Kluyveromyces lactis: one gene and its partners. The protein of the gene in region 1 interacts with the protein of each later gene in a pairwise test. Links are inferred from orthologs where the notes say so. Each region holds a gene or a part of one and is shown in the gene's direction. Other genes may lie near its edges.

The links.
Region 2: the proteins of PRP31 (region 1) and PIH1 interact in a two-hybrid assay, tested with the Saccharomyces cerevisiae proteins (2 studies listed by BioGRID). The link is inferred for Kluyveromyces lactis from reciprocal best matches to the Saccharomyces cerevisiae genes PRP31 and PIH1.
Region 3: the proteins of PRP31 (region 1) and RSA1 interact in a two-hybrid assay, tested with the Saccharomyces cerevisiae proteins (2 studies listed by BioGRID). The link is inferred for Kluyveromyces lactis from reciprocal best matches to the Saccharomyces cerevisiae genes PRP31 and RSA1.

Annotation. Positions count from the first base shown.
Region 1 is NC_006040.1:1,252,877-1,256,992, forward strand, and holds PRP31 (U4/U6-U5 snRNP complex subunit PRP31), read left to right. Parts: upstream 1-1,504; coding exon 1,505-2,908; downstream 2,909-4,116. Other genes in the region: DNA-directed RNA polymerase core subunit RPC40, read right to left, coding at 147-1,151; KLLA0_D14905g (serine/threonine-protein kinase), read left to right, coding at 3,189-4,116. UniProt on the Saccharomyces cerevisiae protein: Promotes the association of the U4/U6.U5 tri-snRNP particle with pre-spliceosomes to form the mature spliceosomal complex.
Region 2 is NC_006039.1:884,205-887,931, reverse strand, and holds PIH1 (Pih1p), read left to right. Parts: upstream 1-1,899; coding exon 1,900-2,901; downstream 2,902-3,727. Other genes in the region: ERC1 (Erc1p), read right to left, coding at 1-1,542; PRO1 (glutamate 5-kinase), read right to left, coding at 3,032-3,727. UniProt on the Saccharomyces cerevisiae protein: Involved in pre-rRNA processing and required for the NOP58-snoRNA interaction.
Region 3 is NC_006041.1:1,720,921-1,724,781, reverse strand, and holds RSA1 (Rsa1p), read left to right. Parts: upstream 1-2,006; coding exon 2,007-3,035; downstream 3,036-3,861. Other genes in the region: DDC1 (Ddc1p), read left to right, coding at 1-683; pyruvate transporter MPC1, read right to left, coding at 882-1,256; KLLA0_E19317g (uncharacterized protein), read right to left, coding at 3,054-3,452; KLLA0_E19295g (uncharacterized protein), read right to left, coding at 3,732-3,861. UniProt on the Saccharomyces cerevisiae protein: Involved in a late nucleoplasmic step of 60S ribosomal subunit assembly.

The DNA of each region.
Region 1 (4,116 bases):
TGAATATATATAAGTGCCTAATCTGTTCACTGAGTGGCTTAATGCGTATGATACAGGGAATGAAAGAAATGGAATTATGATGCACGGTTTGTCTGTGTATGGAAGGGAGTGGATGATATTAAATAGAGAACATGCGAATTGGCTTCTTATTGTGAGATTGGACAGTTCTTCAAGTATTCCGCCTTGTTCTTCAAGATCCTGACCGATTTGAAGAAGATTTCTTCCGGTGTCATAGCACCAGAACTCTCCACGTTAAAGATGAAGTGGTCTCTCACCCTACCCAACTTAACCTTCCCCTGGAACTCATCGTGTCTCAACACCTCTCTGGACACGGTATCCTTCCTTGGATCCTTGATATAAGCTTCACCCTTCTCGTTGACATCTGCGACACCTTTAGGGAAACATTTCACAAATTTCTTGGCATCATCACCGGTGATAGGCTGTGTGATCTGGATGTGTGGTAATAGTCTATAACTAGCTGTCGACACCGGAGAGAACTTGGCATGGTCTGCACCGATACCTAGAATACAATGTGCCCTTAACGAAATCTCTTGACCTGGTCTCAACTTGGCCAACAAGATATCTGGATCCGCTGCCACCACGGGACACTTGGCAAATTGTTCCACCTGTTTCCCCTGAGGCTCAAACTTAAGGTCCCTAGCATAGATATGCGCGTTTCTATAAAGAACCTTGGGGTCTTCACAATCCTTTGGAGCATCTGGGTTCCTGGTACATTTCACGTTCAACGACATCACTATCGTATTTTCATCTGTAAACCTTTCAGATTCGGGCAATGACGTGTCCACCCAACTCAACATATCTGGATCCACCTTCAATGGCACTAACCCGATTCTATGCGCCAACACTTCGTCCTGTAGCACAGACGTATTGTTAAAAAAGTAGACGTATTCTGGAGCGACAGATGGTACTTCTGAGATCATAATACGACGGAAAGCGTTAGCAATCGATGTGTCGACATGAACCAAATCGAAATTCACTTCACGCTCATCCAAACTCTCGATTTGTACGTCAAAAGTTTCCTTGAACTTCTCCAAGTCCCATGAATTGTCTTGATCCGAACTAAATCCAGGGAAATCTGTTGAACTTGTGTTCGTCACACGGTTATATTCAACACCAACGATATTGGACATCCTTTTTCAATTGTATTGCTACGTTTATGCTACCTCTTGAGCTCTCAAACGACCTCAGAAAAGCCCTATGACACTGGTCAAGGTCCGTCTCATCGGTGTAGATACCTCATCTCAAGCTCATCTCATCGCTTTAAAGAACTGAAAAATTTTTGGAAAAGAAAAGATCACATCGTATAGAGTGATTATATATGATTAAAGATTGGTAGAAATGCGATGAGATAGCTACTCGAGAGCAGGTACTAGTCGATTACTGCTCTTTTGACCATCCTCAGTTAGTTCAGTATGTGGTATTTTACAGTTGGATTGTAACTGGATAACCATATTCCCCTGTCTTACTCTTTCACAAGGTGATAATGGACCTTTTAGATGACGAAGATTATGGAAGTGTCAGCGATGAGGAAAGCTTGGATGATGGGTTAAGTGGTGTAACCAGTGGTATAACCAGTGGTATAGCCACAGAATCGGATATTTTACCCTCTCCTAGTGTTAGCAACCTAATATCTGACTTTCACGCGCAATTCTGGCACCAAGGCGCGGATTTAGATGACCTCATCCAACTTGCCAAGCACGAAACTATAATACGAGATGCAACAAACCATACGACAGAGCCTTACAATGTCATAAAACTGGGCCAATTGATGCCTTTATTCGATACAGAGCTTTCCATGGTGTTTCAATGCATTGTAGATACCTACAAGGCCAAGTTCCCTGGGTTGGAAACTATTGTCCCTGAAAGGAAACAATACGTCGACGTGGTCAAGATGCTGCAACAGGATATTCCCAACGTGCAATTAGACCAAGTGCTATCGAAGGAGGAAACCCTTGTGGTATCTATGTCTCTAAAGACAGATTTCAAAGAGGGTGCTCGAATTGATAAGGATCTCCTCTCCAAGGCCATCCATTGGTTCGATATTCTGTACAACTTACGGGACAACGTCTCACACTATGTTGAGACAAGAATACAAATGGTAGCTCCAAACTTATGTGCTTTATTGGGACCTGATACTGCAGCTAAACTGGTAACACATTGTGGTAGTGTTAAAGAACTAAGTGTGGTTCCCAGTTGTAATTTGGCATCCATTGGCCAGGACAAAACGTTGCATGGCAAATCGTTAGATATCTCTGGGGTACGACAAAAGGGATATCTATTCTATACAGACGTGGTACAAACACAGCCTCCTGAGTTCCAGAAACAGGCGCTTAGAATGGTCTCTGCCAAGGTTGCTCTTGCTGCGAGAGCGGATTGCACCATGGGGAATCAAGTCATTAACCCAGATGGGAATTCAGATGGGAACTCAGATGCCTCGAAGCTGGGCTTGAAATGGAGGCATGAAATCGTTGAAAAACTCAAGAAGATAATAGATCCGCCGAATATCAGTAACATCAAGCCGTTGCCGATCCCAGAAGACGCTCCAAAGAAGAAAAGAGCTGGTAGAAGGTTCCGTAAGTACAAAGAACAGTTCAAGATGTCGCATCTAAGGCAAATGCAAAACAGAATGGAGTTCGGTAAAGAGGAACAGACCACCATGGACCCATACGGAGAAGAAATAGGGTTCGGGATGGCCGATTCAAAGAACGTTTCCGCATTGTCCTCTTTCAATAAGACCAAAATGCGTAAATCTATGCGTTTAAGATTAGATCAAGAGACTAAAAACACGCACAGTTTCCTACAGGATGAGAGGTCCGAAAAGCTCAAACGTAGTGCAGAGCACCCACAAGCTACGGACCCCGCCACCAGCAAACAACCACGGTTGTGAGACACCATAGTTCTGCCGTGTACCTTTTATACCCTGTATATGTCTATTCATAGATCTGTAATTACGATTCCTATTATGGCAAAACCAAAACACAAAAAGATGATCCAATGTTCGAATTGAAAACTTTAAACAAAGAACACAACTTAACCATTGAACTTTAGGGTCTCTTATTCGATCAGATCTGCCGATAATTCATTGTGTCAAGTCAGAAGTAACGTGTCTGACCTGAAGCACTAACGGTTTTATTTACATACTTCAATCACACAGTTTAAAATAAGAAATGTTTACAAGAGATGCGAATGGTCGTCACAAGGAGGTCGACGCATTGGTCGACGATATGGTCAATTTCAGTTTTGATACGGATGCTAAAGTTATGCTAGATCCCCCAAGCACTCCAACGAGAATACGTGGTTCTCCGTCTCCTACTAGATCGATAGTAAAAAACCCTGAAAACTCGCTCATGGATATCGACGATGATACTCAGGGAGATTTGACGGCAGACATTACCAAGTCGCCAAAGAAACTACCCAAAGATTTCTATAAGAAGTCCTCAAAGACTAAATCCAAGAGATTGGTTTCCGTGTGTCAGATGTATTTCTTGGATTATTATTGTGATATGTTCGACTATGTGATTAGCAGAAGAGAACGTACCAGACAAGTGATCAACTATTTGGAAGAGCAAAGAAGGTCGAACCTGATGGGTACTGAGCAAATTACCAACGAATGGCAGGGTTATCTGACGAAAGAGACGAATATTCTAAGGAAAAGACGTTTGAAACCGAAACATAAGGATTTCGAAATGATTACACAAGTTGGACAGGGTGGGTATGGACAAGTTTACCTTGCTAGAAAGAAGGATACCAAGGAGATCTGTGCGCTAAAGATCTTGAACAAGAAACTTTTGATGAAACTGGAAGGTACAGACCATGTTTTGACTGAAAGAGACATTTTAACTACGACAAGATCGGAGTGGTTAGTGAAATTGTTGTATGCTTTCCAAGACCCTCAAAGTTTATACCTTGCCATGGAATTTGTGCCAGGTGGTGACTTCAGAACGTTACTGCTCAATACAAAATTCTTACAGGCCCCACATGCCAGGTTTTACATCAGTGAGATGTTCTGCGCTGTAAACGCGTTGCATCAATTGGGTTACACCCACAGAGATTTAAAACCAGAAAACTTTTTAATTGATTCAAAGGGACATATCA
Region 2 (3,727 bases), on another chromosome or scaffold:
TTCCACTATGTTTTCCCAATTGGAATTGAAAACACAATAGCTCAAAGCAAACGCCAGTAATAAGATCCCGGTACCGCATCCGTACCAAAGCCCTTTTAATCCCAACTGAAATTTACCAAAAGTTAGCCATCCACTTAAAGGCAATGCGATAAAATAGTATGCTATGATATTTAACAGGCTGCCAACTTGCTGCCGTCCTTGTGCACGTAATATCGCAGCGCTAAAAGTTGTGAATGCATCATATAATTGGTTAACTGCCAAAATTGGAGCGACATGACGATATAACTCAACGACCTCTTTGTCTTTAGTGAACAAATACGCTAAATTCTTGTCACCTGTTAAAATCAAACAACAATTCGCAATCCCTACAAACGCTGCTATCACGTACGACGTATTAATACAGATCTTCGCGTTGTTGACCGATTCTGTCCCAACATAATTAGCAACCCTTGTGGAAACTACGCAACCCATTGCGAATGGGATTTGATATATCAAAGATCCTATGTTCGATACGACTGATTGTGCTGCTATAGCCTTGACACCGAGATATGTAGACATAATAGTCAATACTTCGAAAGAAAGGTACTCTGCTTCAATCATGAGTAAACCAGGAAATGCCAAATTCCACATAGGTTTCCAGCTGCAAAATAATCTTTTAAAGTGGAACATTGAAGAGAACATGGGATACCAACAAATCAGAGTTTCCTTTCTCCAAAATTTGCAATAAACCAGTAGCATTAAGGCCATAAACCAGTGCGATATGGCGATACCTAGAGGAGCACCAGCATATCCAATGTAACGAGTAAATGAATACACTAGAATAATATTAACTGGAACTGTAATCAACAAGGAGTATGTTCCTGCTTGGAAATGGCCCTGTGATTGAAGGAATCTCTTACCAGTTTCGAAAAAAATCAGCCCTGGCAACCCAAACGATATTATTCTCAAGAAAAGTTGTATCTCTGGGAGGATATCCTGTTCAGCAATCACATAACCTAACCATGAAGCACTGAACCACCATGATATAATCACAGGGAAAATACCTGTCATTATCATCGCTGCACAACGGAATGAATATAAACCAACTTTTGCATATTTCTTGGCACCATACGCTTGTGAGCAAAAGGTATCCAAAGAAGTGGCCATACCCTCCACAAATGCTAAACCAGTAATATTGTAAGTCATTACCGCCAAAGATGCGGAAGCTAAGGCATCACTTGATTTACAGACATGACCGATGACAAATAAAGAAATAATAGCCAAAGAGTATTCCATTAGAAAAGTTAATGTAATTAGAGCGGAGTTGCTTAAGATATAGGAGACTTCATTCCTAGAGCTTGTTGGGGCAGTAAGATCCTCTATGAAGTCTTCGTCAATAAAGTCATCGCGATCTGCATCTGGACTCATTAGTCGATATCGATTGTCTATGGCATCGCCAGAAGATGCAGATTCTCCATCACTTTCATATCTAGTATTGTCATTGATTGTATCGTATCGCGGTCTATCCATAGAGTCACAGAGATACTCACTCTCTTGATTCATGTCTAGTTGTTTCAACTAACCTGTAATGCCCTTCTTTATCTTAAAACCAGTTTGAATGTCCATTAACAGTGGAATGAAAAAAACTAATCTCCAGAATTAAAGGTATTAATACCCAAAATGTTGTATTGAGCCAGGCAGTATGGATTGAACGGCCACCGAGCACGTTCCGATGACACGAACCTTTTATTCGTCTTGGTGTACATATAATTGATCCTTATCTACGTTGAAAAAGCACTAGTTTTGATAATCGCTAATAAGAATTTGATTGTGAAATTCTATATTATCGCTTAGCAGATAACTGCGATAGGAACAAAAAAAACAAAAGAATAAGAAAGTACATACCGTCAATTAGGTGCAATGTCATTTCTTCTTCGACCATTGAATGATAGCAGCTCGAACAACTCCAACAACGTTATAAGAATAAGCCCAGAACCATGTTTTGTCGTAAAATCTAAGGTAATAAACCCTGGTACTACATCGCTATCAAGCAATGCAAAGATATTCATCAACATTTGCCATAATGACCAGATACCCTTACCTGAAATCGATTTCAACCCCGCCATAGTATATCCCCTAATAATCAACAACCAATGGGAAATACCAATCGTAACCTCCTCAATAAGGGAGGATGTTGACAAAAAGGGCAACGTCTGCTACGTGAGCGATTGTTGTATAAACACCAAATGCGTTTCATGGATCCAGCATGATTTACAACTAAGAGAAATCGTAGTTGAATGGTGCTTAGAATCCTGTGAATTGCGAGCGGAGCTCGAAATATCAAGGGATAATATAAGTTTCCCTAAGCTGAAGAAGAAAGGTGATACTATACCTGAACTAGAAATACTGCGAGAAGACCTAACAGAGAATTATGAAGAAACCATCAATGATTTGGTAAATAGGGAACAAAAAGAACCTGTTAGTATTATCGAAAAGAGGCGAGACTTTCTTGCAGAAGACGAACCTTCGACGGGTGAACTGCCGCCATTAATTCCTATCGACCAATCTTCCCGTAGAAAACCTTTAATAGAGGAAATCGAGGATCTTTCACTGCATGAAACCAAGAAACCCAAGGTTGAAGAAATACAAAAAAAAAGTATATCATATGAACTTAGTATGGGCAAACCCAAAGACACCTCAGAGTTTCTCTTAAAGATAGAAGTGACCTCGGAGCTTAACTCTAGTCTTGATTACAATATCAAATATGATGCTAAAAGTAATAAACTCATCATAAAGAATACTAATCTAGGTATTTATCCCGAGAAGAAACTCAAGGTTCCATTACCTGATATATTTAATAATCCTCCAAAATTAGAGTGTTTCTTTGTGAAGCCTGAGCGCAGATTAATAATATTTTTATAAAATCTCAATATGGCCGTATATATATATAAATTGATGCAAGATGTTCGATTATCTATATATGCTTTTATTAAAGGGCTACGTGTATGAGAGTTAAACGTAACATGTAAAGTATATTTTCATTCACTTTAGGTTAATGAGGAGGGAATGCTAAATTTTCCCTATGAGCTACGTATTCACTATCAGCATAGCCTAGAATATCTTCAATCTGATCACTTTGCAGACCTTTAATTTTTGATAACTCTGTGCTTGTATAGTTGCAACGAGCCCTACCTACTGTTTTCAGTGCAACGGATTTATCCAAATTTCCATCTGAATCCCTGACTCCCAATTTTATATCTATACATTCATGTTCATGGAAGCTCCCTTGGACTTCAATAACGCCTGCAGGTAACAAACCAGCTTTGTTTTTCCTCGTTAACGCTTCGTATGCACCAATGTCTATAATTACAGCGCCTTGACTGACGAGTCCATGAAGCATCCAGAATTGTCTGTTCTTCAAGTGATGATGATTACTATTGGCAATAAACCTAGTATGAAGAGGAACATGATTATTAACTAAACTTTGCATCTCAGTGAGTTGTAGGTCAGCCAAATCTTGTGTAAGTTCATTCACGCCATCGTCCCTTTCCTGCATGTAGAGAACAATTTTGGAAATGTTTTCTGGAGTGTCGCTCTTCATAATGATGGTATGGACACCAGCATTGGTTGCTAATTCTGCCGCAATAAGCTTAGTCTTCATACCACCAGTTCCAACATCTGATCCAGATCCACCGTCTGTGTTCACACCTGGCAATCCTTGTGATATATCTGGAACAACCAAGATAGG
Region 3 (3,861 bases), on another chromosome or scaffold:
ATTTCAAAGTATTCTTAAATGGACTTAATTGTTGGAAAACAAATGACATGATAAGAATCTGGTTTTGCCAACCTGGTGACCCCATTCTCTTTGAAATAACAAAAGATGGGGTTGTATTGGAATTAGTGCAGGTAACTGATACCGAGGGTAGGGTCGAAGAACCAGAGGATTCTGTCACCCAATTTAACCTGTCACCAGAAAAGATAGTTTCACCAATCAAGAAGGATACCGTAGTGAAACCAGATAAGCTTCAAAGGCCGGAAAGTAAGCAGATGCTGTATCCACATACAAAACGCTCACTATTTATAACGGATGAGGATGGAGCAGATGATGATGACGAAGACGAAGAAGGAAGGCAATTCAGGTTTAAAAGGTGGGGGAAACAAAATAGTAACACTACTCCCAATTCAAACACTGGCTCCCAGTCAACACCATCGAACACAACAACCGAGCCGTCAATTAGCGAGCCAGTAAAGAGAATGAGAACAACTGTCGAATGGGGAGGAACAATTGAATCGAACAATGTCGGTACAGATGAATCTCATCAAAGAGAAATGAACAAGGCTGCTTATCTAAATAATTTGAAAAGACAAGCAATCCAAGAAGATCTCAATCTACAGGAAGAAGATGATGGCATGGGTCCCACACAAGCTGACAGACCTAAAGGTTTGTTCGACTCTTGATAATAAAGAACGAAAGAAGTACTTTATTTTTCATTTCGAAATGAATTCATAAACTGTAATTGAACATATAGACATATAATATACAGTACGTAAATAAACTTAGCATTAAATCTTAGATAACAGACCTACACAGTAGTGTAATCTAAGCCATGGGAGAAAGAATGTTGTTTTGTCGGCAGGTTACATTTTCTCTTGCATCTAGGCTGTCTTGGCGACATTGGCGTCAGTAGCGTCAGCTTTCTTGCCACCTAGATAATGATGGTTTAAATATCTGTAACCTTGCACAAGTTGGGCTGTTTCATTCACAACGTGACAACCGAATAACAAGAAGTTCCTTGGGGTAACAGCTAGGGAATATCTCATAAACACACCAGAGTACATCACTAGAGCCAGCGTCATAGGTCCAGAAATCATCTCCGGATCCTTCTTCAAATCGTAGATGGCAGCAATTGGGATACCGAAGTTTGAAACTGGACCCCAGAAATGTGTGGTGAAGACATACTTTAAAGTTTCCTTGTTAATGTATTTGGAAATCAAAGATTGACTAGCAGCTCTCTGTACTGGTTGGGACATGATTCAGGGATTATAAACTGTTGCCGAAGTATAATTTACTGAGTTAATATTAACGTAAACCAAACTAAAAAAAGAAGGATAACAATGAATGAATGGGAAAACGAGAGGCCAACTAATAACTCAGATCGAGTACCAAGAAGTTCTTCAATGTACCTTTAAATCTTTTCTGAAAACATTTAAACATTTTTGTTGAGCTTTAAAAGTCTTCAAGGTTTCGAAGCTTGAAAAATTCACCGCTGCAATACGATTTTCACTGGTAAACCCGTTGGTGAGAGACTACCCACTGCACAGCTGATGGAAGTAAGAGGTATAAAACTACATACATGGAGGGGCCGCATAACCACCAACTTATAAGCCGACATATTGGGGGATAGATTTCTGATTACTCTCAGTGGTTAACTTGGTCAAAATCCGTCTCTCTTATGATTGGTAATAAGAAGACGTATATCAGTAAGGTCACGTGATATAGATGACACTGCGTAAAAGCTATAGCACCAGTGGAATGACTTGCGGGGACCCTTATGAGCCTGTTTGACTGTTACATATTTCAGAATATGTTTCACGGTTTACGAAGCATCAGTTACCGGTTTAAAACTTCAACACCTTTCTCCAGAACATTATGTATGTGAACGTAGGAAATTTCTTTTCATTATCTATTCATCTCATCTCATCTCATCTCATCTCATCTCTATCTGTTCAATTAATGAATATGATGGGAAGAAAGGCCCCAGGGAAGAGTATTCGAGCAACATGAATGGTCAAAACGTGTACAATAACTCTTCACAGGGCGGATCTGTGAATAATAATCTTTTGCAACATACGTTACAAACCACGCGAATGCAGTATTATCCGATACCTCAGATGAATCAACCCAACCAATACGGTGTCCCCGCTATGCAGCATGCACCAATGGGAATGAGATATGGGACCCACCATCCTTTCTATCCGAATCCGCACCAGTATCAACAGAGCTGGTATGGTTTTAATCAAGCGCAACCGCCATACGTGGATGTTACAAAATCAAGCAAGATCAATTATGATGATGAGGAAGAAGAAGAAGAGGAAGAGGTGATAGAGCACCAACAGTCAAATTTAGAGGCAAACGACAAAATCGAAGTACCCAAGAAGGGTCCTATCAAAAAGTTCGCCAATACCAATTTGAGGAATTCTGCTTTAGTTGAGAATAAAATAGCAAGTGATGAAGATGATAAAAGGAAAGAAGAAGAAGATGAAGAAGAAGAAGAAGCTTCTGCTGATGAAGATATCATAGAAACCGTCAAAGGATCAGATCTGTATATACCTGGAACTTCAATAGTGCTTAAAACGGAGGAGGATATCGCAAAATGGAAAGAAGAGAGAAGGAAGATGTGGTTAATAAAGATTTCAAATAAGAAAGAAATGTACAGAGAAAAGTTTAACGTCAAGGACGAAGACTTGAATCGTAATCCTCTCCAGGAGTCTAGAAAGGAGCGCTATTTTATTCAAAATATACAAAACCAAGTTAAAAGGTTTAATTATAAACCAAACTTGACGATAGGTCTTCATCAGAGAATCTTAAAAGAGGAAAACGGTAAGATCTTGGATTTCATCAAAGAACTTGGTGATGCCAATTATCTCAAATATGAACTTACAGAAGAAGAAAAAGAGGTGCTCTTTGGAGGCAAAGATCACAAGAATGACCAGAATAGACGCTCCAATAGGAGGTATGATAGGCAACTCAATCAACGTGATACTCAATACCGAAACCATTCAAGGAAAAGACCGATTGATGAGGTTTGAAAAAGGAAATCTTGCTTACTACTTTAACCCTTCCAATATAAAGTTAGTGACAGCTGAACCAATGAAAGTTCCTATTAAGATACCAGGGAAGAATTTATTCAATGCCTTTCCGTTATTATTGTCAGCAATATCAGCGTCATATTTTGCATCATCGTGGTACCGAGGTTTGTCAACTCGATATTTCATTTTGTGTCTTCCTTTAGAATGCCTCTTGCTCTTCCTCTTCTTATGTTTCTTCTTATCCTTGCTTTTAATACTCTCGTACTCTATATTGTGATTATCTGTATCGATCTTGGGGGAACTGACTTGTAGTATTCTCTGTGTACCATCAGTGCTCATGGCGGGCTCATCAATAAAAGTTGATTCATCTTGATTTGATAACATTCCATTATTTGAAGCAACCATTCTCAGTTGCATGAGTTGGATTACTGACCACTCCGGGAGTGTAGTTTTTAATCCGAATTGATGCCTATTCTAGTTCCTTTCCCTATTTTCACTTTATAAAGACCTTTTCTCTTCAAGTTTTCAAGCATTTATATGTTTCATTTGGGTTTCAGACATGAGGTATCACATATAATATAGATAATAACAAAATATATACTTTTGATATCTTCAATAAAGCATTCTAAAAAACTGTTATGAGAGTGTGGGTTGGAACATTCAATGATATTTATCAGCTGGGTGAACAATCCAAACTTATCCTTCGACAAAATTTGCAACAGTAGCTAAAACTCCCAAAGTACCAATGGAACCCAACATAAATCCTAATGAACCACTATATAAGTCAAATCTTCTCTTTCTACCAAATTTCTTCCCCTTAGCCTTA